Linked DNA regions of Rhinolophus ferrumequinum. The protein of the gene in region 4 interacts with the protein of the main gene of each other region in a pairwise test. Links are inferred from orthologs where the notes say so. Each region holds a gene or a part of one and is shown on either strand. Other genes may lie near its edges.

What was found.
Region 1: the proteins of UBE2K (region 4) and RNF185 interact in binary tests that used the Homo sapiens proteins (3 or more experiments, as listed by UniProt). The link is inferred for Rhinolophus ferrumequinum from reciprocal best matches to the Homo sapiens genes UBE2K and RNF185.
Region 2: the proteins of UBE2K (region 4) and RNF114 interact in binary tests that used the Homo sapiens proteins (3 or more experiments, as listed by UniProt). The link is inferred for Rhinolophus ferrumequinum from reciprocal best matches to the Homo sapiens genes UBE2K and RNF114.
Region 3: the proteins of UBE2K (region 4) and DTX3L interact in binary tests that used the Homo sapiens proteins (3 or more experiments, as listed by UniProt). The link is inferred for Rhinolophus ferrumequinum from reciprocal best matches to the Homo sapiens genes UBE2K and DTX3L.

The regions. Positions count from the first base shown.
Region 1 is NC_046308.1:20,177,515-20,185,232, reverse strand, and holds the start of RNF185 (E3 ubiquitin-protein ligase RNF185), read right to left. Parts: upstream 3,002-7,718; 5' UTR 2,842-3,001; intron 1-2,841. UniProt on the Homo sapiens protein: E3 ubiquitin-protein ligase that regulates selective mitochondrial autophagy by mediating 'Lys-63'-linked polyubiquitination of BNIP1.
Region 2 is NC_046306.1:9,561,677-9,568,773, reverse strand, and holds the start of RNF114 (E3 ubiquitin-protein ligase RNF114), read left to right. Parts: upstream 1-4,096; 5' UTR 4,097-4,144; coding exon 4,145-4,284; intron 4,285-7,097. UniProt on the Homo sapiens protein: E3 ubiquitin-protein ligase that promotes the ubiquitination of various substrates. In turn, participates in the regulation of many biological processes including cell cycle, apoptosis, osteoclastogenesis as well as innate or adaptive immunity.
Region 3 is NC_046285.1:47,308,678-47,316,670, forward strand, and holds the start of DTX3L (E3 ubiquitin-protein ligase DTX3L), read left to right. Parts: upstream 1-4,979; 5' UTR 4,980-5,014; coding exon 5,015-5,204; intron 5,205-6,261; coding exon 6,262-6,473; intron 6,474-7,993. Other genes in the region: protein mono-ADP-ribosyltransferase PARP9, read right to left, coding at 838-979, 1,734-1,748.
Region 4 is NC_046288.1:14,523,900-14,531,728, reverse strand, and holds the start of UBE2K (ubiquitin-conjugating enzyme E2 K), read left to right. Parts: upstream 1-4,812; 5' UTR 4,813-5,016; coding exon 5,017-5,079; intron 5,080-7,829. UniProt on the Homo sapiens protein: Accepts ubiquitin from the E1 complex and catalyzes its covalent attachment to other proteins. In vitro, in the presence or in the absence of BRCA1-BARD1 E3 ubiquitin-protein ligase complex, catalyzes the synthesis of 'Lys-48'-linked polyubiquitin chains.

The DNA.
Region 1 (7,718 bases), on a different chromosome or scaffold from region 4:
GAACAGAAAAGGGACATTAGTGGGACAAGTGGCAAAATGTGAATATAGTCTAGTTAGTATAGTATTAATGTTAAATTTCTTGTTTAGGTAATTTTAATATGGTTGTGTAAAATGTTAACATTAGGGTAAGTTGGGTGAAGAGTATATAGGAAGTCTGTATATTCGTTTTGCAAGTCTAAAATTATTTCAAAATAACAAGTTTAAAAACATATGTGATGCAGGTCAGCGGCTGGCAAATTTTTCTGTAAAGCACCATATAGTAAAAACTTTAGACATGTGGACTATACATGATCTTTGGGGCAATGGCTCAACTCTGCTGCCAAAGACAACATGTAAATTAACGAGAAAGGATCTTACTTTCGGACACTGGAATTTGTATTCCAATAAAACCTTATTTATGGAATTACAGGAATTGGATTTTCCTATAATTTCCATATATCACAAAATATTATTCTTCTCTTGATGTATTCCCCACCATTAAAAACTGTAAAAAACAGTCCCAGCTCACAGGCCATGCAAAAACAGGAAGTGAGGCCAGATTTGGACCACAGGCCAAATTTTGTGGACTCCTGCTCTAGGTCAGAATTTGCCAATGTGTGCTTCAGTTAAAAAAAAAAAAAAAGTGCTTCACATCAATTCAGTTTGGCAACACTAGATTAAACAAGGTTAGGCACATTTCTTTATTGCAGATATCTCAGGGACCTTAATGTGGTACTATACACTGAGAAGTTCCAAAAAGGGATAATGATCTATAGTTTTTACAAACTTATTATTACCATAGAACACTTTTTTTTGGAGGGGTCTCTTCAGATTAGCGGCCTGAAAAATGCACTATGTATATACCTGTTTAGGTATTTTCTTAAAAAGAAATGTTCAGATTGAGAAGTTTTAAAAACACCATCAAATTAAAATCATTTTACCTAGCACCTGGATGATACCTGAATAAGAATTTCGCAATTTATTTTTTTAAAATCGTAGGAAACACAAACAAGGCAGGAATATAAACATTGACAGAAAGTCTTGGCTGAAACCCAACCTTTTGGGGGGTAGGAAGCATGTCAGCAGAATTGGGTCATAATATGGAATCTTTGCTCCATAGGACAACGTAAGCATCCTAACAGGTTTTGAAGTAGCAATCTGCTTGGAGTTTTATAAATCACAAAATAGGAGTTTTGATGTTTGATTAGAAAACTAAAGATATAAGATATATAGAAGCATTACCTGCAGATAACCCATAAATGAGGATGAACTGACATGTCAAGTCCATAAAAGGACCGGTTTTAAACGCTGGATGGAACGTTAGACCATAGATTGCAAAAATCCCCTTGGTAGACACAATATCTATACAACACACTTCTGGAGAGAGGATTAAAGGGAGACTTATGTCCCAGGGAAGAAAAGCTGGCCTAAACAACCTCAAGGGACCCTTCTGACTGTGATCCAATTCTGTGATCCAAAGAGTTCACTGGCTTCTCCTGATCAAATACAAAGTCTTCCTTCAGAGGCATTTCCAAGTTGTTCTAAGAAAATAAGCTATAAACAGATGGTGTGGGGACTCTGCTTGGTTATTCATTCAGCAATGATCTTAAGGCGTCTTTATCAGATGGACCATTCCAAAGTCCTTGAAAAGGATGGTTCACAGGACAATCAGGAAGAGATTACAAGATACATTACATTCAGACCCACCGCCTTACTTCTACAAGATGTAGGCTGAGGGAATGGAGGTGTCAAGAAAAAAGGGCAGAAAAAAGAAGTCAGCTCCAGAAAGATTCAAAATAATTACTCAGAATTAGAAGCTGTCAAATGGGAAAGGACCACCATCTAATACCTGTATACCTCCTATAGCAGGAAGCTCACTACCTTTGGAGGCAACCCATCCATTGCTGGGCACCTCTGACCAGCATTAAGTTCTATTAAATCAAAATCTTGTCTTCCTGTAGAAACCATCTATTGGTCCTAGTTCTGCCCTTTTCAACCCCAAAGATGAAGTGGAAGCCCTCTTCACCATAACAACTTTTTCAGTTTTTAAAGACAGTTCCCTTCCATTGCTCTCTTTCCTGGGATAAACACCCAGTTCTTTCAAAGATCCTGAACCGGCTCCAGCTGCCTCAAAGCAAAGAATGGATATCTCGTAGTTACAGCAGGAAAACACTTAAGATCAGTGGGCTTCAAACATCAGCATGTACAGGACACCCGAGCCATACGTTCCAAACGCAGTTTCCCAAGTTCCCACCCAGATTCTAAATCACAGGTCTTATTTGAGTCCCCCATGGGAAAGCATGCACCCCTATAGCATTCCAAAGCAGATGGTGTGAGAACGGTATTTTGAGAAGCACTGCCCTGTTTTACAGACGAGGAAACTAAGGCCCAGCAGAAGAAAGGGATTTGGCCCAGAACGCACAATCGGCTGTTGGCGGCGAAGTCTCTAACCCGGGTCTCTTATGCCCAAAGCCCAACTCTGTTCACCACGCTTACCGGCCTCGGCTTCTCCACTCGGGGCAAACTTATTAAAAACACATCCACAGGAGAGAAATGGCCTCGAGCGGGGGACAGAAAGAGAGTTATAGTGAGTCCCTGCCTGGAAAGGAGAGCTCGTAAGGAGCCTTTTCCTTTCTCGGGGCCTCAGTTTCCCCCAACTGTAATCACTGGACGAAAGACCACATGCCAGCCCGACCTCTCTTCTGGGGAGGAGGGCCTGAGGCGGAGCCAGGCTTGTTGTCTCTGCGCCCCTGGACTCAGGTGTCGCAGCCCGTGGCCCGGTGAAGGCGGGACCCGGTCCCCCGCCCGTGTCCCTCAACCTCGGATGCCCCTAGCTGCTCCCCCCACCAGCCCCTCAGGTACCTGCCGCTGCTCAGCTAACGCCGCCGCCGAGGCTGCCCCAGCTTCTCCGTCAGTCGGCTGCTCCGCCGGTCTGTCCGCCCAGTCAGTGGATCGGCCTGGACCTCGGATCACTCCTACGCGAACTCCAGTCACCTGACACAGAATCGCCCCTCTCCGAGACTTCCGGCCGCAACCGGAAAAGGTTGGTCCGCTGAGCTGTTCTCCGGCCCACGCACGAGACTCTAAGGTTCCGCTTGCGGATAGGAAAGGGAGGAACTTAGGAGCTGTTTGGCAGCGTTTTAAAGATCCTTGGTCAGGACAGGGAAAGTGCCAGACAAGCTTGGAACATCTTGTTGCACCAGAATGTAAGGATGATGGGCATCCGAATAATGGGAATATGTGAAAGGACAGAGGAGCTTACTTAAAGGATATCCCACTGGCCAAATTGGAGCATTTTTGAGCATCGAAATACATAATGATAGTAACAGAGTATAACTAACTGAATAAAATGCTAACCCATGAGTCTTTACTAATATAAATAATGTAGATAAATAAATGAGGGAGAAGAGAAAAGTCTTCCTTTTAGTAGAAGCCAACTAACAAACATGATGGAGTTAGAAAATCAATAATGAGTGGTAAAACTAGAGGAACAGGATGTTTACACAGTAAAATTGTCTCCCATAAATCACTTATTGATTACAAAGGGAAAATAGTATTTTTACAAAGGTATAACCTCACAGAACAAGTGACTCAAAGTAATCAAAGTTAATGTCACCAGCTACAGGTCAAGTAGAGATCACGTGCCCCTCAATAAGATGCATTGAGAAGGAGGCATCTCTTCTGTGACATTTATATTCAAAATGCATAATCCAAATCTCATGAGGAAGCATGAAATAAACTGAAATCGAGGGACACTACAAAATAAGTGTCAATATCACGAAAGACATTTGAAGACTGAGGAACTCTTCCTGTTTAAATGCAATTAAAGAGACATAACAAAATATGGTTGGATCTTGGACTGGGGGGGAGGGAAGGTAGAATAGGTATAATGGACAATATTGGGACAAGTGATGAAATTTGAATATGGATTGTGGATTAGCATATTGTATCAATGTTAAATTTTCTAAAATTGATCATTGTATTGTGGTTAAGAGGAAATATTCCTCTTGTTCTTAGGAAATATTCACTGGAGTACTTAGGGGTAAAAGGGCACAATGTCTCCAACTTAATTTCAAATGATTCAGAAATATATATATATATTATAGAAATGATTAAGCAAATTAGGAATATATATATATTTATTTATTACACGAATGATTAAGCAAATTAGGAAAAATGTAAACAAGTGGTGAGTCTAGGTAAAGGGTATATGGGAGTTCCTTACATAATTTTTGCAACTTTTCTTTAAATTTGAAAAGATATAAAAATTAATATTTACCCTCTAAATAGGGAAAGTGCCTGGGTCCTAGCCTGTTTACTTATTTATTTATCAAATATTCATTTATGTGCTAGGTACTGGTTATGTGATAAGAGACAAGCTCTTTGCTTTCATGCCTAGTGGGAAAAATATTAAACATGCAATCACAGCACTAATGGATTACTTATCTTGAAAATAATAATAGTTAACATTTACTGAGCTTAACTAAGCACACTCTACACAATGGTTCATTTTCATTTAATCCTCGCAGCAGCCCTATGAATGGTTTTGGTGGTTGTCTCCATTTCACAAATGGGTAAAAGAAAACTTTTAAAAGGTTACACAATTTTATCATTTTATTAAAAGTTTTCAAATCACATATCATTTAATTAAAAGGTGATGGAGCTGCAATTTGCACCCAGGAAGTTGTTTTCTAGAGTTCTTGACACCCATCTTCATTGTTTCATTAATTCAACAAACATTAAGTGTCTACAGTGATCCCAGGGATTGTATTTGGGCTTGGGTCTAAGTAGGGGGTGAAGGCAGTAGATGAAATAAACTTATAGATGAAATTCCTCATCTGCCAGCCCTCTTCCCTGTTCCTGGGGACAGGGAGTAGTAACACAAGATACGTTTCCAGTCACACAAACCTGGATTTGAGTCCATCTTCTCATAAAAAGAAAAGGAGCCCCTGATATCCCGGAGCTGGCCTGGCATTCACAGGTAGGCTTTGGTGTTCAGTTGAACATAAAAATGTCACAGAACATCAACATCAGACAAGGCCACTCTGTGACTGTGATGGATCAAGACAATAACAAGACCTCTCCATAATCATACCTGAACCAGATAAAACATGAGCATTATCCAAACCACAAAAATGACCAAACATTTCCCTATCCTGGCTCATATAGAGATTGCTGCTTCTTTACCAATTACAGCTTTAGTCTCAGTCTAGTTTTCCTGCCTTCTCGATAGGATTTATCAAGATACCCAAATCATAGACAGTATCCAATCCAGATCAAAACCCTGCTGCTTCCTTGACCCTCCCCCAAATTAAATTCTAAATGTCCTTTCTAACACTCTGTTTCTGAGACGCCTCATCATTCCTTGTGGTTCACATCTCCCACCCCTCGCTGTAACAAGTAATAAACCCAACTTGTTCAACCACAAGTGCGTTCCTGTAGGTCTTTCATTGGTGGGCATCTGTTGCGCCCAGCGCAACACAGGCAGTGAGCGAACGAGAAGGGGTGGCGAAGGGTTAAGAAAGAAACAGAAATCAAGAAAGTTATGAAACCCAGGCCGAAGGGTCTCACAGCCTCAAAGGACTGAGAGCCCCGAATCGGGCCACCTTGTGGCTTTTATTGATGTACATACAAGGAAGTAGCATTGTTTTTTCCACGGTCTGTGAGTCTCATACATCATACTAGAAAACTGATTCAAACCAATCACCCTTGCCTGCAAGCAGCCAGAATTGAAAAATCCCATGATGTCTTAATAACTGTGGTATGTGCCTCCCCTGGGACAAAACCTTTATGCTGAAACTTATTGATAAGAATAGAAGGAGAACTGATGTTATCACATCATTGACTCACTTCCCACGCAGGTTGTGGGAAGGAATATAGCCACGTAGGCAGAAGCTCTCCTTGGCCAGGGGAAGGGAGGACTGTGCCCACCTCTATCGACCCATGAGTTCTTCTGGTGGTCCCCACGCGGCTGCACCTGGCTTGGGTTGTTCCCCCCATGGGGAATCTTACCCGTCATTGGCTGTGCCATCTTTTGGGGCCAAACAGAGAGACATAAGGTGTAAGCACAAAGGTGAAGCAAAATCCCTGAAAGGATCAGTCTCACAGACTCTTCTTTCTTTAGGGATAGGCACGAGGGGACAGACGGTTAGGCTGCTGTGTGACAACAGGCATCGAGAATGCCTATGCTCACTAGCTATGTGACTTTAGACAGCAGTTTCACTTACAGAAGACTGTTTCCTCATCTGGTAAAATGAAGAGATTTATTCCTACCTCAGAAGGTCGTTGTGAGGATACAGAACAGGCTTAGCACTGAGTTAGCTCTCAGTATACTTTTTAAAATTTCTGCTTGCATTATGACCTCCTTCAAAAAAGTCAGAGTACCGTCATTATGAAGAGGCATTGCAGCCATGAGCTTCACTTAAGACAAATTTGTTGATTATACTCCCCTTTGCTCCTTTTGTTGGGCAGACTAAAGGTGAGAGTTCAACTTTTCCTTTGTCAGAAATGAGGTCATTCCCGTGGTCTTTTCTGGAAAGCAACAACCAAACTGAAATTTGAATGTTAGGGAACAAGCACTGTTTATTTCTTCATGTTCTTATTATTGAACATATTTCCAAGAAATAACAGGATTGGAACTACCAAAGTTGGAAGAACTTCAGTTTCAAAAGTGTATCAAGTAATAGCTTCTCTGCTTTAGCACACTAAGGTACTTATAGACCCCAGAAGCCCTGCTGGTGATATTTTCATTTATCCTGCTAGGGCCCAGCATGGATTTCATATTATTTGATGCCTACAATAAGTTGTGCTAAATAAAAAAAGTATTCATACCAGTGGTAAAGAATAAAATAACTGGAAGTGTTCTGGTTTCTTTCTCTGCTTGCTCTGAGTATTCCAAGGGTTCTCATTTTAATAGTCTTAACTTCCTTCTGCCCCACCTCCTCTTATTCCTCTACTATTAATACTAATAATGGCAGCTAATACTTGTTGAGTGGTTTATTAATATGCCATACACTGTGCTAAGGGCTTTATGCAATTTAATCCTTGTTCCAAATTGTGAAACAAATATTATTACATATGAGGAGTTAGAGGCCAAGAGAAGTAAATCAACACACCCAAGGCTGCACAGCTGGTAAGAATCAGGCTAAAGATTGGAATCTGCCTTCAACACCTGCTCCTGTTGAAATGCTGCCTTAACCACCCTGAGCGAGAGAGTGGGGTCTGTGAAAGGATGGAGAGGGGGGCTGGAAAGGAAGGAAAAGGCTGGGGCAGGAGGGTGTGGGAGTCCATGTATTTGGAGCATTCAGATCTCCAAAATGCAGAGGGTTGGAGACTAGAAGCACAAGACAAGTAGGAGACCATTGCAGAGCCTCAGAAGGAACAGGGACCTGAGTCAAGGGTAGGAGAGGCCAGGAATCTTCTGAGTACTGGGTCAGAAGGACCCTATTCCTGGGAATTATGCTCTTCCCAGAGGATTCTGGGATATTCTCAAGATCTCAATACCCTCTCAGGTCTTAGGGAGAAGGCCCAGGCACCAAGGCCAACTGCTGCCTGCCACCTGCTGCCTAGCCAGGAGTGGGTAGCTGAGGTATGCACAGCTTCTGATCCGGTGACTGGAAACTTTCCCAGGGCCTGAGGGCAAGGAAGACCTAAAGGGACAAAGATCCTCAGATTCCCCCCGATCCTGCACCCATCTGTTCAGCTTCAGCCTCCCCCACCGCTGGAAGTTTCCCCACCCT
Region 2 (7,097 bases), on a different chromosome or scaffold from region 4:
AGTGATGAACGGTTCCAGACTAACAAAAATTTAAAGAGACTGTCCTAGATGAGATCTTGAACCAGACAAAAACAAATAATGAAAAATAAAGGCATTTATTTTTATTTAAATAAATATTATTGAGACAATTGGTAAAATATGAATAAAGTCTATAGATTAGGTAATACTGTTGTATCAATATTAACTTCTTTTTGGTAATTGTACGATGGTTTTGTAAGAGAATGTTTTTATTCTTAGGAGTACACACTGAAAGCAAAAGGCATGATGTCTACAACTTACTCTCAAATGTTTCAGAAAAAGAGCATATGTATACATAAATACATATGTATTTATACATAAATATACATCAATACATGTATTAATGCATATATATTATATGTGTGTGTGTGTGTGTATATGCCAGCCGTGTGTGTGTATTTATGTGTGTGTATGTGTATACATAGAGAGAGATGGAACAATAAAGCAAATGTGATAAATTGGGGTATCCAGTTGAAGGGGTCTCTGGGAGTTTTTAAAAATACTTTTGTAACTCTTCTGTAAATCTAAAATTATTTCAAAATAAATACTTACAAAAAGTATGTGCTAAGTATGAAATAATATTTTTTACTTCCTACAACTAAAAAATAAAGACAACCCAATAAAAAATGAACAAAAGATTTGAACAGACACTTTCCAAAGGAAGGCATACAAATGGCCAATAAGCAAATGAACAAGTGTTCAACATCATTCATCATTATGAAAATGAAAACCACAAGATCCCACTACAAACCCCATAGAATGGCTAAAATCAAGATGGCTGACAACCAACTATTGGTAGGATATGGAGCAACTCACACCGGGTTAGAGGCAGTGGAAAATATTTGGAAAATGGTTTGGTTTAGCAGTTTCTAATAAATTTAAATATACACTTACCAAATGACCCAGCAATTCTACTTCTATATAGATGCTTAGTTTTTTAATATTGTGACGACTTCATTCTCATTAGCCAATGTCTCAAGTCACAAATACACATGCAGTGCAGCTTGTAGCTGATGATGGTGGATTTAAATGCTTATTTCAATCAGCCTTGATAATATTCATTTGGTTCTTGTTCTTGTCAGAATTTATTAGATCATCATTGTTTTTACCTCATTATGTGGCTGATTCTTGGTATAATATAAACTGTAAAATGCTGTGTGAAAACAGTGAGCTGGTGAAGAAACTGATAAACTGAAATTTTCTGGAGGCAGCATTTTTATGTAGTCATCCTCCTATGTCTTTCCTGTTTACGTCCAGATCATTCACTGCCATATCCCCAACACCTGTTAGTAGGATGCCTGGTACATAGAAGTTATTGGTTGAATGAAAATTTACATGCCAGTGTTACTCATGTTAAAACTCCTTGAAATCTGAGACTATGTCCTTTTTGATTTTTACTTCCAGACCCAGTAAGCTATAATGGGCAGGAGCTGTAAACACTTAAGGAACTAAAAAGAATAAGGGAGATGTTTGGTGTTCACCTTGGTGGGCCCCATGAGTCTGTGAGATACTCGTTTGCCCCCTAGTGGTATAGATGGGAAGTCCTCCTGGCTCTTACCAGTTTGGCACCAGTTTGAAATCAAGATGAAATTACCTGCCCATAGATTAATAAGTGTAGTAATACATAATGTTGCAAAGTCTGCCTACTTTAGATAAGTGTAGTAATAATTTTTACATGTCACCTGTGGCTGAGAGATAGGACTCTGAGGATTATATGATTTGAGGCCTGTCTAATTCATCTCAACTATTCTCCCACACTGTATCTCCCCACCCTGCAGAGGCCTGCCACATAGTAGGCCACAGGGACTCTTTGTTGCCTAAATGAATGAGTCTCCCTTAACAGTAAAATTCAAGTTTGTGAAGACTTTGAACAGGATCTATTCCCCACTCCAGCCTCATATCAGAACCTCAAGAGGACCTTAGATGACGTGGGCAACCTGGGAGAGGCTGCCAAAAACTAAAGGAGAGGAAGAAACTATTGTGGGAAATATTTTGCACAAGAACATTAAGGGAAAGCGAGAAGAAGAGAGGTTCATTCATTTGACACATATTATTAGGTTGACTGTTGAAAAACAGCAAGTATGAGTATGGGGAAAAGAGAGGACTGACAATATATTTGCAAGCAAAGAAAGGTATAGTGGGGACACTGTCACTGGGAATGCCTCGGAAAAACAGAAAGGGATGGAGCACATTCAGTCTAGTCTCAGCACTGACGTGGGGAGGGATGGGTAGTGTAGCTAGTGGTTCTCAAAATATGATTACCTGGTTCTACAACATCAGCCTTACCTAGAAACCCATTAGAATTGGACTCCTTGGGCCACAGCCCAGTCTTACTTCCACACTGTATCAGGATGTGGGGTGGGGGGGAGGCTCCAGCAGCCTTCCAGGCACCCTTAAAGGCACAGGTGCAAAAGCCAAACTGCATGTGGTGTTCCAATCCTGACTCTCATGTCCATCCATGTTAAAAGGTAATTTAACTTCTTTGTATTTCAAATTTGCACAGCTGTAAAATGGGGATAATAATAGAACCTAAGGCATAGGGTACTGTGAGGATTTATTCATGTAAAAGGCTTAGAATAATAAGCACCAAAAAAACCCACATTCACTATGAATTATTTCAATCTTGTTCTCTTGCCTCTGTGACAAAGTATAAGCTCGTGGAACGTTCCTTTCAAGAGCTCAAACTGGAGGCCCTGGGTGGATTTGAAGCCCAGGTCTGAGGCTCTCTTCCCACCACCACCCCTCACCCACATCCCCACCCCCACCTCCCCAGGGTCTGGCAGCAGCTACAGGGTCAACACAAAGGCTTATAAATACCGGCAGCTACCTCTGCCCTCTGTCTGCCCTGGAAGGGAGAGAGGAGAGAGAGCAGATGAATGGGTTCCTGGCATAGGAACAGGAAAAAGAAACAGGAAAGTGTAAGTAATCAGAGGCCTCGTGGGCTGCTGCCTACCTGCCAAATTATTTTTTGGTGAAAAGATGCCCACGTGGTTAGCTGAAAATAATCCTCCTGATGCCACCAGGTCAAGCAAAATCAATCCAGATGATTGGGAATAGGACAAAGAAGGCACAAACTTGCATTCAATTAACCTGGTTTAACACACGAGGTTTATTTGTCCCGTGTAGCCTCCTTACTGTGAAGCCTTTGTGGCCTTTCAGGTGGAGGTTTCATTGATCGTTAATTTTCCTGGTTAAGCAAACCACGCAGGGTTGTTAGCACAGCCTGCCTTCTAAAAAGATGTATCTTTTGTTAAATGGGCTGCATACAAGAGCTAACTGGGTGCAGTAGAAAGTGGAGGAAGTTAGGATTCAAAACATATGGGGTCTAGGCCTGCTCCTTTCTTGTGAGATTGAGGTTTAGTCTATCTCCTTAAGCCCCAGCTTCCTTGTTTACACAGAGCAGGAGCTGGATTGCATTGCCAGGAGACACGTGAACACAATATTAACGTTGACTCACGGAGCGAGACTGGCTTCCCATTACTTCTGCTTTCGCTAGCAAGTCTCAGTGTGGCGATAGCCTGTCTTCAACACCTGTCTAATAATGGCTAATTTCTCTTTTCAGCGTCAGCAGTATCCAGCATGAATGAATGATATTTTGTTTCCATTTGTATTTTTGTTTTGTTTCCATTGTATTTTTACAATTTCCTTATAGAAATAAGTGAAACTGATTTTCTATTTGTGGCTCAGGAGTGATATCAAATCTCCCTTTAAAATTTGTTTGCTTACGTTTGAAGGAAGCAACTCGGTTTGAAGAGAAATATTAAGTAATAGTGCATAAGTAATATTAAGTAATAGTAATAATTTAAATTTAGAAAAGAGGCTGAAGCACAAAGCCCGTTCCAATACTACCAGTCTGTGGATCTGGTTTCCACATTTTCCAGATTTCCGTCCGCCTCTTCCCCCCTCCCTCCGGTCAGAGGGGCCAAGAAGGCGTGGCGCATCCACTAGCCCCGCCCCAGCCAGGCGTACATTCCATAATCCGAGCTCTTAGCGGCCCTTGCTGCCCAGGAGCCCCGCCCTCTCTCCGCCCCGCGCCCCACCCCTCGCGTGCACCAGCGTGCCTCCTCGGCCCCGCCCCATCGGGCTCCTCCTCGGCCGCCGTTGCGGGGCGCTCCGCGGCAGCAAGATGGCGGCGCAACAGCAGGACCCTGAGGGTGGTGCGCAGCTGGCAGGGCCCGCGGCTGAGGCGGACCCACTGGGCCGTTATACGTGTCCCGTGTGTTTAGAGGTGTACGAGAAGCCGGTTCGGGTGGTCTGCGGACACGTGTAAGCGGCGAACCGGGGCCTGGTCGGGGGGCGCCTGACTGGGACGGGGAAGGGATCCGAGGGGCGAGGCCCCGTCAGGGAGCGTCTCGGGCGGGAGCTAGAGGACCGGCCTAACGGGGCTTCTCCAGGGGGCCCTCCCGGTCTCCTGAAGGCTCGTGAAAGTTGGCAGGGCGCTCTTGTCTCCCGTCCTGCTCTCTCCCAAGTATCCCGCCCTTCTGATGAGCGCCCGCTGTGTTCAGGCCGCCTGTCAGCACCTTCCCACGAGCGATGGTGGAGTCGCACCGTGCTTGGGGTTAGGTACGGTCTACAGTCCGCTGTCCTCGAGAGCCCCAACTTCCCTTGAGTAGTGCGTACACCTCCTCTAAAGTCGATGCATACGGAGTCGTGTATCCAACTCTGCCAAGTAATTGTAACGTGCACGAAAGTTGGAGAAACGCTGAACTAGACTAAACGAACAAAAGGGAAGTCTTGACGTAGATCGGAGCGCTCTGCCCTTAACTGGGACAGGGACTGCGAGTTGGCAGACAGGGATTGCCAGCGTTCCTCCTTCCGTGGGTACGAAGCTTGTTTCATGGTACTTGAAATCACGCCTCCATGGCCCGCATATTACTAACAGACATTGTGAGGACAAAAGGAGTTGGGGGTCAATGTCAGTGTGGGTCCCGGGCTGGGATAGGTGCTTGGAGGCGTTTGAGCTCCGTCAGACACAAAAACACACCTACGTTGAAAGAACTGTAGAAAACTTGACCATCCGCTTCTTGCCTCGGAGAGTTGGCATTTCCTCCATGGCCTCCCTCAATGCTTGTCGAGGGCAACACGTTGGCATTGGGCTTAGGACCCCTTTACTGGTCAGTCGGCACGCTAGGCACCGGCGGGGCCTCCCAGGCATTCTTATTTCCACAGCAATCCTGCGGGGGAAGAGGGTTGGGGTTGGCAGCCATATTGCAGGTGAGAGTTCTGAGGCTCACCAGGGTGTCCGACTCTTCCCAGATGGACTGCAGGCATCTGTTTGCCTGCCCAGAGAACAGCTGGCACCTGGCAAGGGCTCCCCGGCCACACTGAGTGCCTTTTGCTTCTTCAAGTACATGAAGCTCTTTCTCCCTGGCTGTTCTCGTTTGCAGTTCCCTTAGCCTGGAACTCTTCGTGCCCATCTGCACCGCCCCCACCGCTACCCGACATCCTTTTCAGACCTCAAGTCCCAATTTGTTACCTCCTTTATCACCGTCCTCATGGAAGTCACCTCCAGTTTCTTGCACAGAGCAAAACTGATGGATCACGAGGGCAGTGACCATGTCTGCTTTGCCCCTCTCTGTATCCCTAGTGCCCTGCACAGTGACCATCCATCTTCTAATCTTATATTCCACAGACTGAAATATTTGTGTACTCACTCTGTGCCAGATGCTTGGGACATAGTAAGAAAGAAGGCCATGCTGCCCTCAATTCACGAGGCATTGACTTGATGATAAGTACAGAGGGTGCCAAAAAAAATGTACACACATTTTAAGAAAGGAAAAAGCTGTATTAAAATTGTAATACTCAATATATACAGATAACAAGGATAGACAAGTCATGTGTATACATTTTTTTTGGCATCCCGGTAAGTACCAACAAATGTTTAGACTGTTGTGAAAATTCATTGTGCAACGGGAGGTTACTGTAAGGATCAAACCTGTGTGTGTTGACGGAGGTGGTAATGGATGAATAAAGAGACTTGACCCAGTACAATTGACCAGCTGAACAGCAGCAAAATTTGAGGTTTCCCTGAGCCAGGTGAACCTTCCCTGGATCAGAGGTCAAGGGTCAATACTGGGATTCAAACTTTTCTATACTCATCATACTAGTTCCACATGTTTATCAGTTCAGTGTTGATTGAAGACAGATGGATGCACCTCACTGAGGGCAGCGCAAGTCTCCCTTAGCTCCAGCCACCTGCTTTTCGCTGCCCCTACTTGGTTTTTGCTAACTTTCGTGCTTGGAAATTTGAGCATCACTGCAGCTCTGGCTGGGTGGGATGTTAGGTTTTTATAAAACTTTCTTTCAAGCCCTGAATGACTATGTCCTCCAGTCTGGTGTACTCTCTGTGTACTGTAATACAGCAGGAGAAGGGACTTTCTACGTAGCACTGTAACAAAGGTTAGAGCGTGTATGTAGAAGGCTGAACTAGAAAAAGGCCCATAAATAGGAAATGGAAACTGAAAGCAGGCTATTTTGTTGGCCATGACTCAGGGCAGGGCCCCAGAAGTCTTCCTTTCTGCCTTTCACACACCCCTCTGCACTTGGTGTCATCTCAGTGTGGGACTCTGCATCCAGCTCTGTGTGGCTCTCATAATTTTAGGTCTCAGTTCAAAGGTTACTTGTTTAAAGAAATTTCCTGTGATCCGCCACCCCAGCTGATCTCATTGCTTTGTTGTATTTCCTTCATATACTTAATCACTATCTGAAACTTACTGTGTTTTTCTCCACTCTGGAACATACGCATTATGAGCACAGGGACTTAGTTCCCTGTGCCCTCAGGTGAATAAGTGGATCCCCTCACCTTCTTCCAGCCTGGTACAGAATTTTGCCTAGCATCATTCACACCTAGCTGAATAACAAAGGGGAAGAAAATTCTCAGAGACAGTAAAAAATTGTCACATGCACAGATTACATTTGATTATTTATATCCTGAGTTTTTCCTGGCTGATTCTATCAGGTTGAGTGTGTAGCCAGGGTATTTTCATGCCTTATTACCCATTCTCTCTGTGTACTGTATCTCAGCATCACCACCTGCCTAGGCTTCAGGACAGAAACTTGGCCATCTTTGACTTCTTGTC
Region 3 (7,993 bases), on a different chromosome or scaffold from region 4:
GGAGGGAATATGGCTAGTTGACAGCCTCTAGTTGTTTGCCCTTCAGAGTCCATCTCCGCTTTCCAGCCAAGGTCACACTATTCTCAAGGTGGCCTCCATGAACGGCTGAGCAAGGCCATTTATGTCTAATGTGGGCCTCCCGTAATGGGCAATCTCAGGCTGGCAGAGCTTTGGCAGGTTTTCCTTACAGTCTGATGGCTCCACCTCCCCAAATCTCTTTTCCTTTCACAATAAATCTTTTGCATTCCTAACTCCATCTCAGTTTTTGCTTCCTTGAGAACCCCGCTTGTGACACTGCATTTCACTGGAGTCTAAGGCATCGTTATTATATGTCACTGAGGAAGGAAAAACGATGCCATTTAAACCATAGCACACTACTGAAAGGGAGGAGCTTTATTTCAGAGATATGAAAAAATGTGCATCCTAAAATAGGGAAAATGTCGTAGTTAATTATATTTTACTTCAACTCCCATTTCTAATCTGAGTCACCTAGAAAGAACTTTGGTGGCTTCAATTACCTAAAAGAAGCAGTACGTGAGTAGCCAGATCCAACTGGCCCACGTTTTGGTTGAAAATCACAAGTGGGCCACCTCTAGGATTAGGAAGGTTCCATTTGGCTCTTACAAAGCCCTTGTTGAGCAAGGGTCAATCAGTGGGTCACCTCTTCTGTCCAATTTCAGTTCTACGGCTGTGGACAGAAGAGTCTGACATCTTGTGAGCAAAGGAAAGGACCAATGAGAGCCCTAAGAGAACACGTCAGCTGGTGCCACACCGCCTCTGAAGCAGTCCCCCTTTGAGACAAGTGCCGGGTCACCACAAGGTCCTGCAATCACGCACCTGAGCACCTGTGGGGTAGACAGTCTCCTTTTGTATTCCCCTTTCTCCACTGAGAAAAGATAGGTGCAAAGACTTTCTGAAACAAGCCCGAGACTGACAGGATCCTACCTGATTTCTCATTGTAAGCTGCTGCTCCAGTACCCTGTGAAAAATGAAAGTGGTTTAAAAAAAACTGAAACCAAATGACTACAGACTACTGATAACAAATACAGCCTAATAAGCACAGAGCAACAGAAATTCTGCTAAAAGCACTGGGTTTGAGAGGGAAGGGGAACACATGTTTGTTCATTTGTTTAATCTGTGTGCCTGAAATACTTGAAATACTAAATGTTCTAGCAAACAATGACCCTACCCCACTTTCCTAGAGGCCAGTACACTTCTAATTCAACATGGGTTGGAGATTAACACTTGAAAAGGCCCAAAGATCACAGGCCAAAAGGACCCAAAACTTTCAGACAGGCCTCCAATTTCCAAAGGCTTGTAGGGTTTCTCTAGACAGAACAGAAGACATGCGGACATGAGCTTCATCAGCTATATCTTCCTGTCTACCAATAAGGACCCACTTTTCAATTGCTTATCTTCCTCCATCCTCCTCCTCTACCCCATCCTGCAAAAAAGCAGAATTGCTGCATGAGAAGATAGAATAAAAATGATACTGAAGTCATATTTTTAAAAATCATCGATCCTCATGTTGACTCTGTTGATTAGATTAGCATGTTCTTGATTCCTCTTCTCCCACATGGTACAGGGAGACAACTTTTATTGGGCTATTAAAACCAAGTACGAATACTGGGCATAACTGAAGACCCAGATTTCGTGCTTAGTTATAGGAAGTACTATGCCTGATCAAAGTTCATGATTTATGTGAGTATACATTTATAAAAAAGTACTTTTACCTTGGAAAAGTCCATCCTCCAAGTACCTGGGGTCTTTCAATGTTTATACTCTGTTTTGCGTTTCTGAGCGTAGACTGCTGTTTCCAATTATGGTGGTCCACTTCTAGGAATGAATAGAAAGGATGCAATAAGCACTGATCAGCATCTTAGGAAATTTGATAAGAATACGCCATAGGAAGACAAAACATGATTTCTGATCTTGAGTAGCTTTTAGTTTTACTGGTGAAGATGCCCTATTGTTTTTCTGCTGTGGTTACTGTTTACCTTCTGTCCTTTACAGAGAGGTTCCAGTTGAAACCGTAATGGCAGTTCAGAGAGGGGAAAGAACCATAAGGGTTATAGTAGGGAAAGCTTTATGGAGAAGGTGAGACGAGAGCCAGACCTTGAGGGATGGAGCAGGTTTGTATATAGTTAATTGGAAGAGGAGAATGATTCCAAGAGCTAAGACAGAGCACAGCATTCAAAGAACAATGAGGCAAAACCAGCTTTATGAGTATGAAGACCCCTGGAGAATGTCTGAAGAAAGCAAACTGTACTTATGCCTGTCAAGGATATGTGTTACTGAGCCTATGATAAATTTGCTGATCTAATTAGAAAGGGGACTGTCTGGATAAACATCAGAAACTCTGGAAAAACATATTTCAATGATTTTCCATCTAATATGTAGGGATCAAATTTTTGGAGACCAACAAAAATGCTTAACAACACAGTTGCCTACACTTGTTGCCCACATAGTTGTCGTTAGGCCTCTGAAATGATTTCTAATGCCTTTGTAATGAAAAATTTTGTACGACTATCTACAGCATCAGGGAACTATTATTCCTACATGTCAGGAAAAGCAGCAAGTCCAATACAGTCCTAAAGTGTGAGGACAAGATGCATTTTTGCCTCCAGAGGGCACTGCTGTTTTCACAAAAGAGGGAAGTCTCCTGTCTGCTTTGGCTGTGGACATCAGGTGGGCTTTTGCTTCAGATGCTGTAGCACTTATGTTTTTCCTTCGACCAGGCTTTTAAGGCCTAAGGATAGACTCTTGAGGGTGGGGTGAGGGGTTATTAAACCCCAAAGAAATTAGAAACAAGGAGCATATTGCTCAGAACATTCAATCTCTCTCATTTTAAAAACAACACCAATTAACAACAAAAGCCTTCCCAACTTTCCCTTACTAGTTCCTACTGTGTTCTTTTCTCCGCATGGGCAGCATGAAGAGGTTGACTCTCCCCCATCCGTCTGCCTGCTCGGCCCACTGTGGTGGACTCCTGCCCCACCCCCAGCACTCCTCTGAAACTGCTCATCAGTGATCTCCACAAGGTTAACCCCAGTGGACTCTCTTCTGTCCTAATCTTTACTTGACTTCTCTCTATCATCATTTCATTCTTTGAGTCCTAAAACTCTGCCTTCTTGGCTTCTCCTATGCTATCTTCCCTTGGTTCTTTTGTTACCTTTCACTTTGCCTTTACAGGCCCTTTGCTTGGATTCACCTCCCTACACCCACCCGACCCGCTCCGAAATTCATGCTCTCTCTCCTGGATTCCACAGCTCAGTCAATGATACACCATTTACCCACTCAAGTCAGAAATCTAGAATCTCCTCTTTTGTCCCAGATGGAACCCATCACTTGGGTCCAAAGCACCCACTTTCAAATATGCCCCTACCCTCCTTGCCCACTGACATCATTTCACTTCAGGGCCTCTTGTCTGAGCTATGTCATTCTCTTTAAAGATTTTAATGTATTTAATTTTACATTTCATTGTTTGAATTGGTATTATGTTTACTGGTTCAAATTCAGAAACTGTAAAAGGCGCCCTCCTACCTCTAACTGCAGAATCACAAAGCCCATGCAGCTGTAATGCTGATAGTACTGCCAAAATGGCTTGGATTCTGCAAAATCCAAGCCTGTCTCAGGCCTGTCTTATCTCAAAAACCTTATCTCAGGCCTGTCTACTTCCTTTGTCCCTGCTTGGAAATGTGTCCTCCACATGGTTGTCCACGCCATGTTTCTAAAATGCACTTCTGACCTGTCACTCTGTTTCCGGTGCTCACAACCCTTCCGTTTCTCCCCACTGATCTTCAAGACTTTTCACTGTCTAGATCTGCGCTGTCCGCTGTGGGCCATTAGCCACATGGAGCTCTTGTACGCCCCAAATGTGGCTCCTTAGTCCCAATTGAGTGAGATGTGATGTAAGTGTGAGATAAACACCAGGTAGTAATGACTCAGTATGACAAAAAGCATGTAAAGTATCTCATACGGTTTTAAGATTGCTTACATGCTGAATGATTAATTTGAGATACAGGAACGATTACATGTAAGATTATATTGAATTAAATAACATCATTAAAATTCAGCTGTTTATGCTTTTTAAAATATGGCTACTAAATATTTTTAAATTAGATATGTGGTTCCTATTAGATATGTGGACAGCACTGATCTAGACCCTTCCTCTGTCACGTCCCTCACCCATCTCATCTCCTCCAAGGCCCCAAAGCTCCCTCTGCTTCAGATCACAAGGGTCCTTGGGCCTCAGATGCTCCTTCCCTCCCGACCCCTACACACTCACACACACATTCTCTAAGACTCTGCTGCAGACTTCCTCTTGGGCGCTTTCAAGAGATTTGCTTCTTTATTCACAAGTCCGCCTCCCTTTACCAGCCTGTGAGGTCGCTGGCCTCTGCGTTCATCTTTATTCCCCAGTACAAAGGGCAGCACACAGTCCGGTTTTGTTGGCCAAATCACGCTCCAAGAGCCAGTCTAAAGGATAGAGCTGGAGGGAGGTAACAGGTGATATGTCATAATGCAGGAGAACACTTTCAGTTTTTTTCAAATGTAGGTATTAATCCGAATTCACAATGTGAATTACATTTTAGCTGCACACAATAGTAACAATAAGAGTTAAAAGGAATCACAAACTCGGGAGAAACTTCGACTTCAGCCTCTGACCAGTCTCACCCTCTCCTGGGTTGGAGGCGGGGGCCGCCTGGCCCTAGGAGCCCGTTTCTCGCCCGCCCCACCCCTACCTCGGCCAAGCCCGCAGAAAAGGAGACGCGAAAGCCTTGGGCGCCCACCGCTCGGGGGGACACGGGACCGACATACTCACCCGGCCAGACGGCGGCAGGGAAGGCAGCAAGGAGAGGAAGGAGAGTAGCTGTGCTGGGAACAGGGAGGGATCTCGGGGAAAGCGAAACTGAAACTTTGAGGCCCAAGGCGACGAGGCGGGACGCACCCCTGCCCCAGTCCCTGTCCCAGCAGAGGCCGGAGCCGGTGCGCCAGCTCGACGCCGAGAGCCATGGCCTCGAACCGCCGCTCGCCGTCCCCGCTGCTCGTGCGGGTGTCCGAGACGGATCTCCAGCAACCTCTCCACCGGAAGCTGGAACGCTACTTGCAGAGCCGGCGCTCCGGCGGCGGGGAGTGCACCGTTAGACCCCTGGGCCCGGGCGCGCCGGGCACCTTCGTGGTGGAGTTCGTGGAAAGGGCAGGTGAGCCGCGGGCCGGGCTGGGGCTGCAAAGGCCGCCCCTGCGGCCCAGCCTCACGGGATTCCAGGCTAACCCAGTGTGAGCTGGCCTAGGAGAGAGGGCGGGAGAAAGTATGGCACCTGTTTGATGGGGCACGGGAACCGCGGGCTCTTGCTGACAAGAGACGCAGCCCGCAGCCACGGAGGATGGAGTCCAGAGGTGCCCAGTCTGGGATCTTGGTCTGACAGCGCCGCCTTCGAGTTCACGCTTTCCAGTATCCTCGTCCTGCCTTATAGTATTTCTCAGCTCTCAAAAAAGCACCTTTCCCTACCCCAGACGTTTGTCACCCCGTGCCCTTTAGGTTTTCCACTTTTATGTTTTAAATAATTATTCCTTTGATTTATTCTTGAGGATTACAAAAGTAATATATGCGCACTATAGAAATGACAAAAAGAAGAAAACCACCTGGAGATAAACAATGTGAACATTTTCGTATATTTCTTCCAGGCTATTTCTATGAACGTCAGTAAACACATATGTATATTTACAAAATTCGGAGTCTGCACTGTTGATTCCCTACTTTTCTCACTCCACTTTATGTGATGAATATTATTCCACATCATTGAAATGGGAAACCGAGACAGTTTCAGAGACATGACTTTTAATGAGTGGACGATGTTCCATATCATTGAGATTTCATTTCTGCAGTAAAACTTAAGCTGCCTGCTTGAGAGTTTTGAATAGCTCTCTCACACCCCCTATTACCAACCACCATCCCAGGATGCCGGGGCAGGCTACAGATACATGAATACCCTGTTTCCCTGAAAATAAGACCTAGCCAGACAAACAGCTCTAATGCGTCTTTTGGAGCAAAAATTAATATAAGACCGGGTATTATATTGTATAAGACCCGGTCTTATATATTAATATTAAGACTGGGTCTTAATATTAATTTTTGCTCCAAAAGACGCATTAGAGCTGATTGTTCGGCTAGGTGTTATTTTCGGGGAAACACAGTAAGAGGATTTGAAATCACTTATATGCCTATGTGTATGTGTGTGTTTAATGTCTCCACTGAAGCTAAGGAGGGAGTGTTGAAAAAGGAAAAGCACCAAATTGTGGTTAAGGACAAACCTGTGCCTATCTTCCTGGAACCCACCGAAAATCCAATAGAGAAAAATAGGAGACCCAGAATGTCTTCGCTCACACAGTCACATGAAGGGGTGAGGTCTGATGAGAAGCATCCACCTGAAGAACATATTCCTAATGCTGTGGATTCCTGTGGCCAAAAGGTGAGTATTGAAAGAAGGAGCTGGGTATGTGCTTGCAACTTGCTCTCCAGTCACCATACCTTTCATTATTGGCCCAACAGTTATTGGCCTGAGGACTTACTATGTATGAGCCAGGCGCTGTCTTAGGCACTGGAACACACAGAGATGAACACAACAGGTCCCTGCTGGGCGAGGGGGAGGTACAAAGAAGGACCATAAGCAAATAAAATAAATAAAACAATTTCAGAAAGTGGTATGTGCCATACAGATTGACGGACAGGGCCAGGAAGGGGAAGGGTGGCACTACTTATGACCAGAAGTCAGAGACAACTTCTCTGAGATGACAAATTTGGCCTGAGGCTTGAATGATGAGAAGGAGCCAGCCAAGCAAAGAGTCATTTGACAAATCGTTATCAACTGTCTACTGAGTGCCAGGCACGATTACAGGAGCTGGGGATACAGCCAGGAACACAGCAGACCCTGCCCTCAGGGACCTCCCATTCTAGTGAGGGAAACAGACACCAACAGCTAACAAATAGGTTTATAATAACATGTCTGCCAGTGAAAGTGCTAAGAAGAAGAAGAAAGCTGGATAAGTGGCAGACAGTGACAGAACCACTACTTTAAATAGGGTATCAAGTAAAGCCTGTCTAATGAAGTCGCATCTGAGTTGAGACATGAGTGAAGTAAGGAAGCTAGCTAGCTAAGTGGATTTCTGAGGGAAGAATGTTGTACGTGGAGGTGCAAAGGCCCCAAGTGCAAAGGCCCCAAGACAGGAGCTTAAATCCTGAGCCCCAGGAGCTTCAAGGAGAGAAGCCAGTGTGGCTGGAGAGTAGTGAGCAAGGGAGAGAGTGATAGGAGAGGAACTTGGAGAGGTATCCAGAAGAGTCCGATCTTTGGGGATGAAGGTAAAGACTGGATTTTAATTTAAATGGTAGGGGATTATCAGATGGTGCTGAGCCAGGGGAGTGGAGTGATCCGATGTGCATCTCTAAAGGATCAGTTTGGCTGCTGTGTGAACGGAATGTAGGCAGGGGCTAGAGTGGAAGGTCAGAGTCCAATTAGGAGGGTTGCAGTGGACCAGGTGCAAGATGATAATACCTTGGACTCTGGGTGGTCCGGATGGAGGTTTAAGAAGTGACTGGATTGAGGAAACATTTGAAGGAAGACCTGGAAGAAGGATGGTACATACAGAGGAAATGGCATGTGCAAAGATCTTGAGGAGGAACAAAATATTAGAAATCTTGCTTTTATGTTACATTCAATGTGTCTGTCTTTTTTAGCCTGGTCTGATGTGCTTGTCTTATATTTGATCTTCTAAAGGTTAGGGTTTAGAGGGCCCACCAACATTGCATGTGGTTAGGTGTTTAGTTATTTATTTTTATTTTATTTTAAAGGAAGGGGTTGAAGTAAACAAAACACAGTAGTAGGAAAATACATCCTCTTCAGATTTATGGCTCTCTTCCAGGCTCACAGACTCGTTAGTGAGAACCACAGCAGCTTGCCCAGAAAAAGGAAGTGCTTTCCCTACACCCCATTCT
Region 4 (7,829 bases):
GGTGTCTTGAATGTGAAGTGTAAAGGCCCCATAGCTATGTTCCACTTGTAGCTGCATATTCCTTGGACAGAGTGGAAGTATGAAATCCTTTCCTAAAAAGACTCCCATCTAAAGAATCTCTGTGCCTGACAGGATCCTAATCAGTAACTTAAGACAAGGAAACATATTTTGTGCTATTAAAACCAGCTTTCCACAACACACTGTAGATAATTCTGAAAGCCACAATAGTGGGAGTTCTGATCAATTCTCTACATTTGGGATATAGTGTAATTACAATCAATACCGTGGTGCCTACTGGCCTGGAGCTAAGTTTAGAAGTTCAACTGTGGATCTAAATGTTGTTTTCCACCTTTGCTGCTAGAGCTGGGAAAAGGTAGGGGAGAGGAGCTAACAAGATGGAAAGGGCAGAACTCAGTGAAGGGGTTTGAAAAAAGCAAAATGATCTCAAATTTATGACTGGGTGTTTCAAAAAGAGAGTTAAATGAGAGGCTTGAGTGGAATAGGCAGTGGTGAGAGACAGAGGAAAAAAGTCTCCAAAAGCTGGCAAAACATAAGGTCAGGAAAGGCCATAGAAAAAAATATTGCTCTGCATTTAGAAGAACAGGAAATTTGAATCTCAAGAGCAGTAACAGTAAATAGCAGGAGCTATACAAAAAGGAAGACGTTCACATTTCCAATGTTGGCGATTATTATCAAGGGTCAGCAAAACATTATTATGCCTTACTGTATTTTTTTATGTGAATCAACACATCAAAACACATTGTTCTGTTAGGGACAACTGAAGAGTTACCAGATTAACTTTCCTCCATCAATCTAAAACCAATTTTACAACCTTTACATATATACATTTTTCTAAATTATTCTGAAAGTGTGTGACTTTTTAGATTTAAGCCTTACGTCTAAGCAGTACAGTATACTTAAATGTACTCAAGTTTCTTTTATAATCTTCAAAAATATTGAGAATTCCAAAGAGTATTTGTTTGAGGGTTAAACAACATTGTGTTAGAAATTAAAACTGACAAATTATTGAAACACTTATTAATAACTATAATAAATCCATTACATGCTCACATAAATAATATATTTTAAGTAAAAAATAACTATATTTTCCTAACAAAAACTCTTTAATGCCTGGCTTAATAGAACATAGCTGAATTTTCATATATGCTTTTGCAGTCAATGTTGCCTATGTTGCTTTGACTTAAGTATATGAAGAAAATCCAGCCTCATCCAGATACATAGTTGGAAATTTTAATAACTTTATCAGACAATTGTGGATATTCTTCTTTAATACTACGATAAATCTAAACAAATGGTAGTTTCTTAAAGGTTAGTTGCAATGTGGAATCTGAAACATTATCAATGAACTTTTTGTACTGTTACATTAAAATCCACTGGTCTCTCTCAAACCTTAAATGGATGTTTTACCCTTACATGAATTCTGTAATATCATGCATTGGTCATTTGGAAAATATTGGTTCACTGATTTATGCAGATCTTCCAAATGTTAAAACATTTGTACAGTTTCAAGTAATCTCACTTGTTAATATCACCACCAATTTAATCAGAAATGTCTTAAAGTGTATTGGGAAGCTGTCAAGTCAAAGTGGCAGATGTGTTTTCAAAAACTATAATTTTCAGTTGAAAGTTTGAATGTTATCATTGGCAACAAATTCTTCCAGTTTGAAGTGACAGGCTCACATTGTTCATTTTTGATAAAATATCTGCCAAATACCCAACTCCTAATGAACATAATTTGTCTCAATCATTACTTCAAGTAAAAATGGTGTTCTATGAAAAATTGGCTAGTTCAGCTCGTAACTCAACCAATTCCACAAGTGCTTTGCCACATATCTTGGTGTACAGCAGACGAGCTTTATGTATCCTTCACGTGTATCACACAGAATATTAACAAGATATGTACTCAAAAGTTTAAGTTTAATAAAAATTAATAATCTCTACTGCTTCACCAAAAACATTCTAAAGTGGCATTTTTTAATCGTATGTGGTATTAATAAAATTATTACTACTACAGTAATTGTTTTTGCCCACTATTGCTTTTACATCATCAGTGCAAATGTCAATGCAGTAAAAAGGCAAGTAATGTCTTAGTTTTATTATGATAATAGTTTGGGCATTGCAGACTGCCTCCTGAAAACATCTCAGGGGCCCCCAGGTATCTGCAGACTATACTTTAAAATTAATTCTCCCCATCCCTGCTAGAATGTAAATCCCACAATTCCAGGTTTTCTTTGTCTCTTGTTCACTGATATCCCTCCAGGGCCTAGGTCATGCCTGGCACATAGTAGACATTCAATAAATAGTTGCTTAATTAATTAATTACTTAATGAAATAATTAATCAGAACTAGATCTTAACAGTGAAGAGCATATAATCTGCATTACTGGAAACTCATTTTTAAAAATTTAGTTTTGAATAGATAAAATATACAACAGGACACATGGTGAAAAGTCTCCCACTTTGCCTTCCACAAGGCAACTTAAGCTGCTTTCTCAGAGAAAACCACTGTTGTCAGTTTCTTATGTATTTCTCCAGTGATATTTTATGGATTCACAAGTATTATATACACAAGCATATTCCTTTCTTCCTTCGCACATATGGTGGTATTCTATATACAACATGGATTGCATCATGCTTTTGAAAAAGTAAACTTTTTCTTTTGGAATAATTTTAGATTTAGAGACGTTTCAGAGATTCTTGTATACTCTTTACTTACTTCTACTAATGTCAACATCTTAAATAACCCTAATACTTAGTCAAAACAAAGAAATTAACATTGTACAATACTATTAACTAAGTTACATAACTTATTCAGATTTCACTAGTTATGTCCTTTCAGTTCTGGAGTCCAGTTCAGGATACCACATTACATTTAGCATACTGCTTTTTTCCCCCCCTTAAAATGTATTTTTAGGATTGCCTCCTATCAGTTAATAGGTAGTTGCCTTATTCTCTGGAAAAACTCTCTAGAATGACTTCCTTGAAGTAGAATTTCAAGGCCAATGATTATGTGCATTTAAAAATTATCAAACCCCTTTCCCTCAAAGAAATTACCAAACCCTTCTAACTAGTACTCTTGTGATTTGAATGTTCCAAGTTTCTTTGAAGTTCTAAGACTGGGGACTGAAAGTAATACATGTAAAATACTCAAAAAAATTTGCACCCTTCACAATTATTTTTAATGTACTGGAAAAAATACACATAGCATTGCACGATTTATATAATATAAATTATACAATTGTATATACAAATATATAATTCATTGTACCATGACCCACGTATATAATTGGTTACTCTTAGGACCACTAGGGGGCTCTGCAGAAAGGGTTTTTATAATTTATTTTAGTCCGTTTAGGGAAAGGTTTCCCCATGATGCTTTAAAATTCTGAACTTTAAAAACTTGAAAGAGATCACCTAATCCAGCTTTCTTATTTTCCAGGTGAGAAAACCAAGTTGGCCAAGAGAGCTGGCATGGAGGAGAGCTGGAATCAAAAATATCCTCTTGGTTCCTGTGGCAGGGGTTCCAGAAAATCTTTTTTGCCATGTGCCTCCACTGAGTGATTCACTCCCTGTGGCTATTCCCTTTCTTTGCTGCCACAATCTTAGTAATATTTGCTAAGACAGTGTATTTGTGATATTTGTCTAATAGGGTACTTTACTAATTGGTTAAGTGAAAGAAGTGCGTGAAATATAAACTTCTAAGTAACCTTTATTATTCTAAAATGTTTTATTCAAACTATCGAATCACCAAAACCATATTACTTACCGTAAACTCTCGCAACCACTTCACATTGCCTTTCAAACTTACTTTCCATTTAAAACATTTTACTCTTTACTCATTTATTCATTCAATATTTATTAAGTGCCTATTAGTGCCAGATATTGTTGTAGGCCCTAGACTTACAGAAGTAAAGCTGCCCTTCTTCCCCGGAAAACGTCTATTTCTCCATTTTTTACTTTAATATACACGTAAATTATTTTCACATGCTTTAGTTCAGTGGTTCTCATAGTGTGGTCCCTGAACCAGGAGTAGGAGCAGCAGCATCTGGGAACTTGTTAGAAACGCAAATTGTTAGGCCTACCCCACACTCCAACGATGGGGCCCAACAATCCGATTTTTTAAACAATGGATTCCGATGTATACTCAAATTTAAAAACTATGGCTTTAGTTCCACAGCTAGGTATTATCAAAATAGATCAAAGATCAACATCTGGCTTCTAAAACCATCTCAAACATCTCCATGGAGCATGGGACCCAACAAAGACCATATTTAATTCAATGATTTGTAATACCTGGCATGATCGTAATAGTGGCTCTGTAATGGCTTCAGAACAAAAACGGACAGCGGTGGATTTTCTGGGCCTATAAGCAGCAGAAAACCGGCCGGTCTGAGTTCTGGGATAGTGTTTTCATACACAGAGCCAAGCACATTAAGCCCGTGGGTCTGCTTGAGTTCAGGGCAGTGCTCTAAGCCGACTGGGGCCGTACGAACCCATCAGGTTGGACTCCAGCCTTTGGCTGGGGGCTGGAAGCCCGGGGCATACCATACAGGTTTGAAGACAGGCGGAGGAAGAGGAGACGACCGGGGAGGCCGGAGTATGGCAGGCTAGCGCGGAAGCCGCACCCTCCAGGCCCCAAACGCCGGCAGGGCGGAGCCACGCGGCCGCAGCTCCGGCAGAGACGCGCGGCGCGGCGCGACGCGGAGCTCGCGGCTCCCGGCTCGCGGCTGAGGCGTGTGGGGCTACAACCGTAGCGGCTGCGCCGCCCGGTCGGGTCAGCGTCGTGCGCATGCGCGGGGCCGGCGCCATTTTGGTGGCCGGGCACGGAGGTGATCCCATACTGAAGAGAGCGAGGCGGCCGGGGTGGCAGTGGCAGTGTTCGTGTGCTCGGGTGTGAATCGCCGAAGGAGGAGGCAGTGGAGGAAGAGGTGGCGGCGGTGGCGGTGGTCGTAGCGGTGGCGGAGGAGGCGGGTACGAATCAGCTGCGGGCGGAGACATGGCCAACATCGCGGTGCAGCGAATCAAGCGGGAGTTCAAGGAGGTGCTGAAGAGCGAGGAGGTCAGAAATGAACTCCGGGACATCCCCCATCTCAGCCCAGGGCGGGAGGGCCCTGCCAGCGGCGGCTCCCAATATCCCCGGTAACCCCCGGGTGGCCCTCCTTGCGGCCGCCCTTCTGCCTGTGGGGAAGCAGCAGTCTCCCCCCTCCTTCCGCCGCCTTCCCCTCCCCTCCCAGGGCCCTGGGATGGACGGTCTCGCTGGCGGGTCGTGTGGAGAGGAACATGGTTTGGGGGGGGGGACAGATGGAGAAGGGGGCACTTGGTGGTGTGAGCTCTAGAGAGACCCCGGGGCAGTGGCAACAGCTGGAAGTGTGGCTGTAGGGTGGTGGGGAGCGAGCAGGCCGAGCCTGAGAAAACCCGGGAAGTGGGTTGGGGGAAGGGGAAAGGTGGTAACTGGATCCGGAGAGCCGCGCTGCTCAAAGGCCCACACTTTTAAGGGTATTCTTGGTTATAGCCTGTCTGGCCTCCACTGTCCTTTCCTTAAAGGAAGTCCCTAGTTATCGATGAAAGGAGAAGGATGTTTAGAGTTACTCCCTCTTGGTTGGGTGTTGGGAGAGAAGAGGAGACATAATGGGATACTATCGTATTTGAGTGGGGGATAAGGGAATTTTCACCTCAGATAGGAAATTAATTCCAATCTAGACCATTATCTCATTTTCATTTACCTCCGATTCCTAGGCCTCTTTTGTGTTGACACCTAAAGCTTTTGACTGGGTAAAGGCAAGTTGTTTTTTGTATGAAAGGCATTTAAATATTTTTAGCTAGGAAAAAATAATGGGAGTGTATGAGAAGCTTATTTCAAAATATTACAAGTTACAGAAGTTACAGATCAGAAAGCCTCTCCTAAGACAATGCCTTTGTGAGTGTGTTGTGCCATGAAACTTCATTATGATGTGCCTCATAGTTAATTCTTACTTTTAAAAAACAGCCGTATTAAACACATGGGATTTTGCCACATTAATACATTGTTATAGTTCCTTATCAAGTGAGTAGGTATATCATAATATATCTGAAATGATTTTTAAAAAATTTTTGTCTCAATCTGCTCTTGAGTTCTGCAGAATTTAGATGCTCTAGTGTTAGCCACATTTATTTATATAAGATATTTTAAATGTTCTAGGAATTTGACTCAAAACCATGCAAGTGTCAGTAAAATTTTTCATACCCAAATCAACAAGAATACCAGGTTGTTTTTCCTCTTTAGATTTAACAAACAAAAATTAATAAGCAATACTGAAATGATTATTTTCAAGATGTCACATGCCATTATTAAACGTATCATTGCTATTTGTATTTTTCTCTTACGTTGGTACTTTGATAATCTCAATGATTTACTCTTTAAGTGTGTGATGAGTAATTGACATAAATCTGGTAGCACTTGAGCTTTTTTTTTTTTTTTTGCTACGGAGTCTATACTGATTATGTATTTTTCCAGTTAGAGAAAGTAATTCTTTAAAATTATTAAAAAATGACAAATACTAGATTTATTGAGTGTAGTATATAAGTAATGATCGGTTTTGCAGAGCAAAACCTCTGTGTTTGTTCATATGCCAAAATTCTGAATGGAAGGATGACTTTGTATTTTGTATTGCAGAAATAGTGTCATAAATGTACTGATACACAGTGAAACAATGATTTTATTTTTTATTTAATAAGAAGACATATTCCAGGATAGTTGACATATATGTTCCTAATGAAAGATTGCAGCTAATATTGTTACCAACAGCCTAAAACATTCCTTTTATAATAAGGTTGTACAATCCCGAAACTTAATATAAAACTTCTAATGCTTTATTTTCTAATACTTAAAAGTGGTAAGTTGCTGCTCTTGTGATTTATATGGTCTCTGCTTGTATGCAGTGACTTTTCACTGTGATATTCTTAATACTTAAATTGAACCTTAAAAGAAATCTTGTATTGCTATAGTAATGCATATATTGTTAAAATAATACTGCTGTTTATATGTAAGGGATAGTGAGGCCTTGCTTCAAGTGTCTTAGTGTTTCAGAGGAAGAAAACAGGAAATGCAAACACAAACTTTTTTTTAAAGAATCGTACCTTTATAAATCTGGAAGGAATCTTCTTCTGGAAAGTATGTTTCAAAGTACATTTAAGAAAGGGTCAGATAATTTAATTTTGCAATATAACCAATAAATAGCTTTATTGGCTCCAATATTTTATTTCACCTGTGTTTTAGTAGGGCCAGTTCTGTAAGTGAATTATTTTCAACTCATTGAGGGATTTATAGTACAGTCCATGTGTTTCCTTTTTAAGTATATAAATGCACTATCTTGAGTGGTTGATCTAGTAAGCAAGTTTTTCGTGTCACCTGTGTAAATTTCCAGTTTACCAAAGTTTATTTCTTATGCTTGTGTTTACTAAGAATACTGGTTGATTTAAGGATGGGGGGCGGCTTTTAAGTGCCTTTGTAACGATTGCTAATGTTTGCTGAATTCTGGCCATAAAAAGTTATAATTGGCCATTCTTGAAGTGTGTTGTTAATTAAAACATAGCCTCTAAGATAAAGCAAATGTGAAAGGCCAGGTGTAGAATAGTGTGAAGGCCACCATTTTTATCAGAAGGGGAAAATATACAGATTCATATATATATATATATATATAGTGTGATATATATAGATGTAGTTTTGTGTGTGTGAGATGTATATATATATCTATATATATATATTTGAAAAGGTTAATCACAGGTTGGTAATTGGATGTCTGGGACAACATGCACCAAAAGATCCCCTTT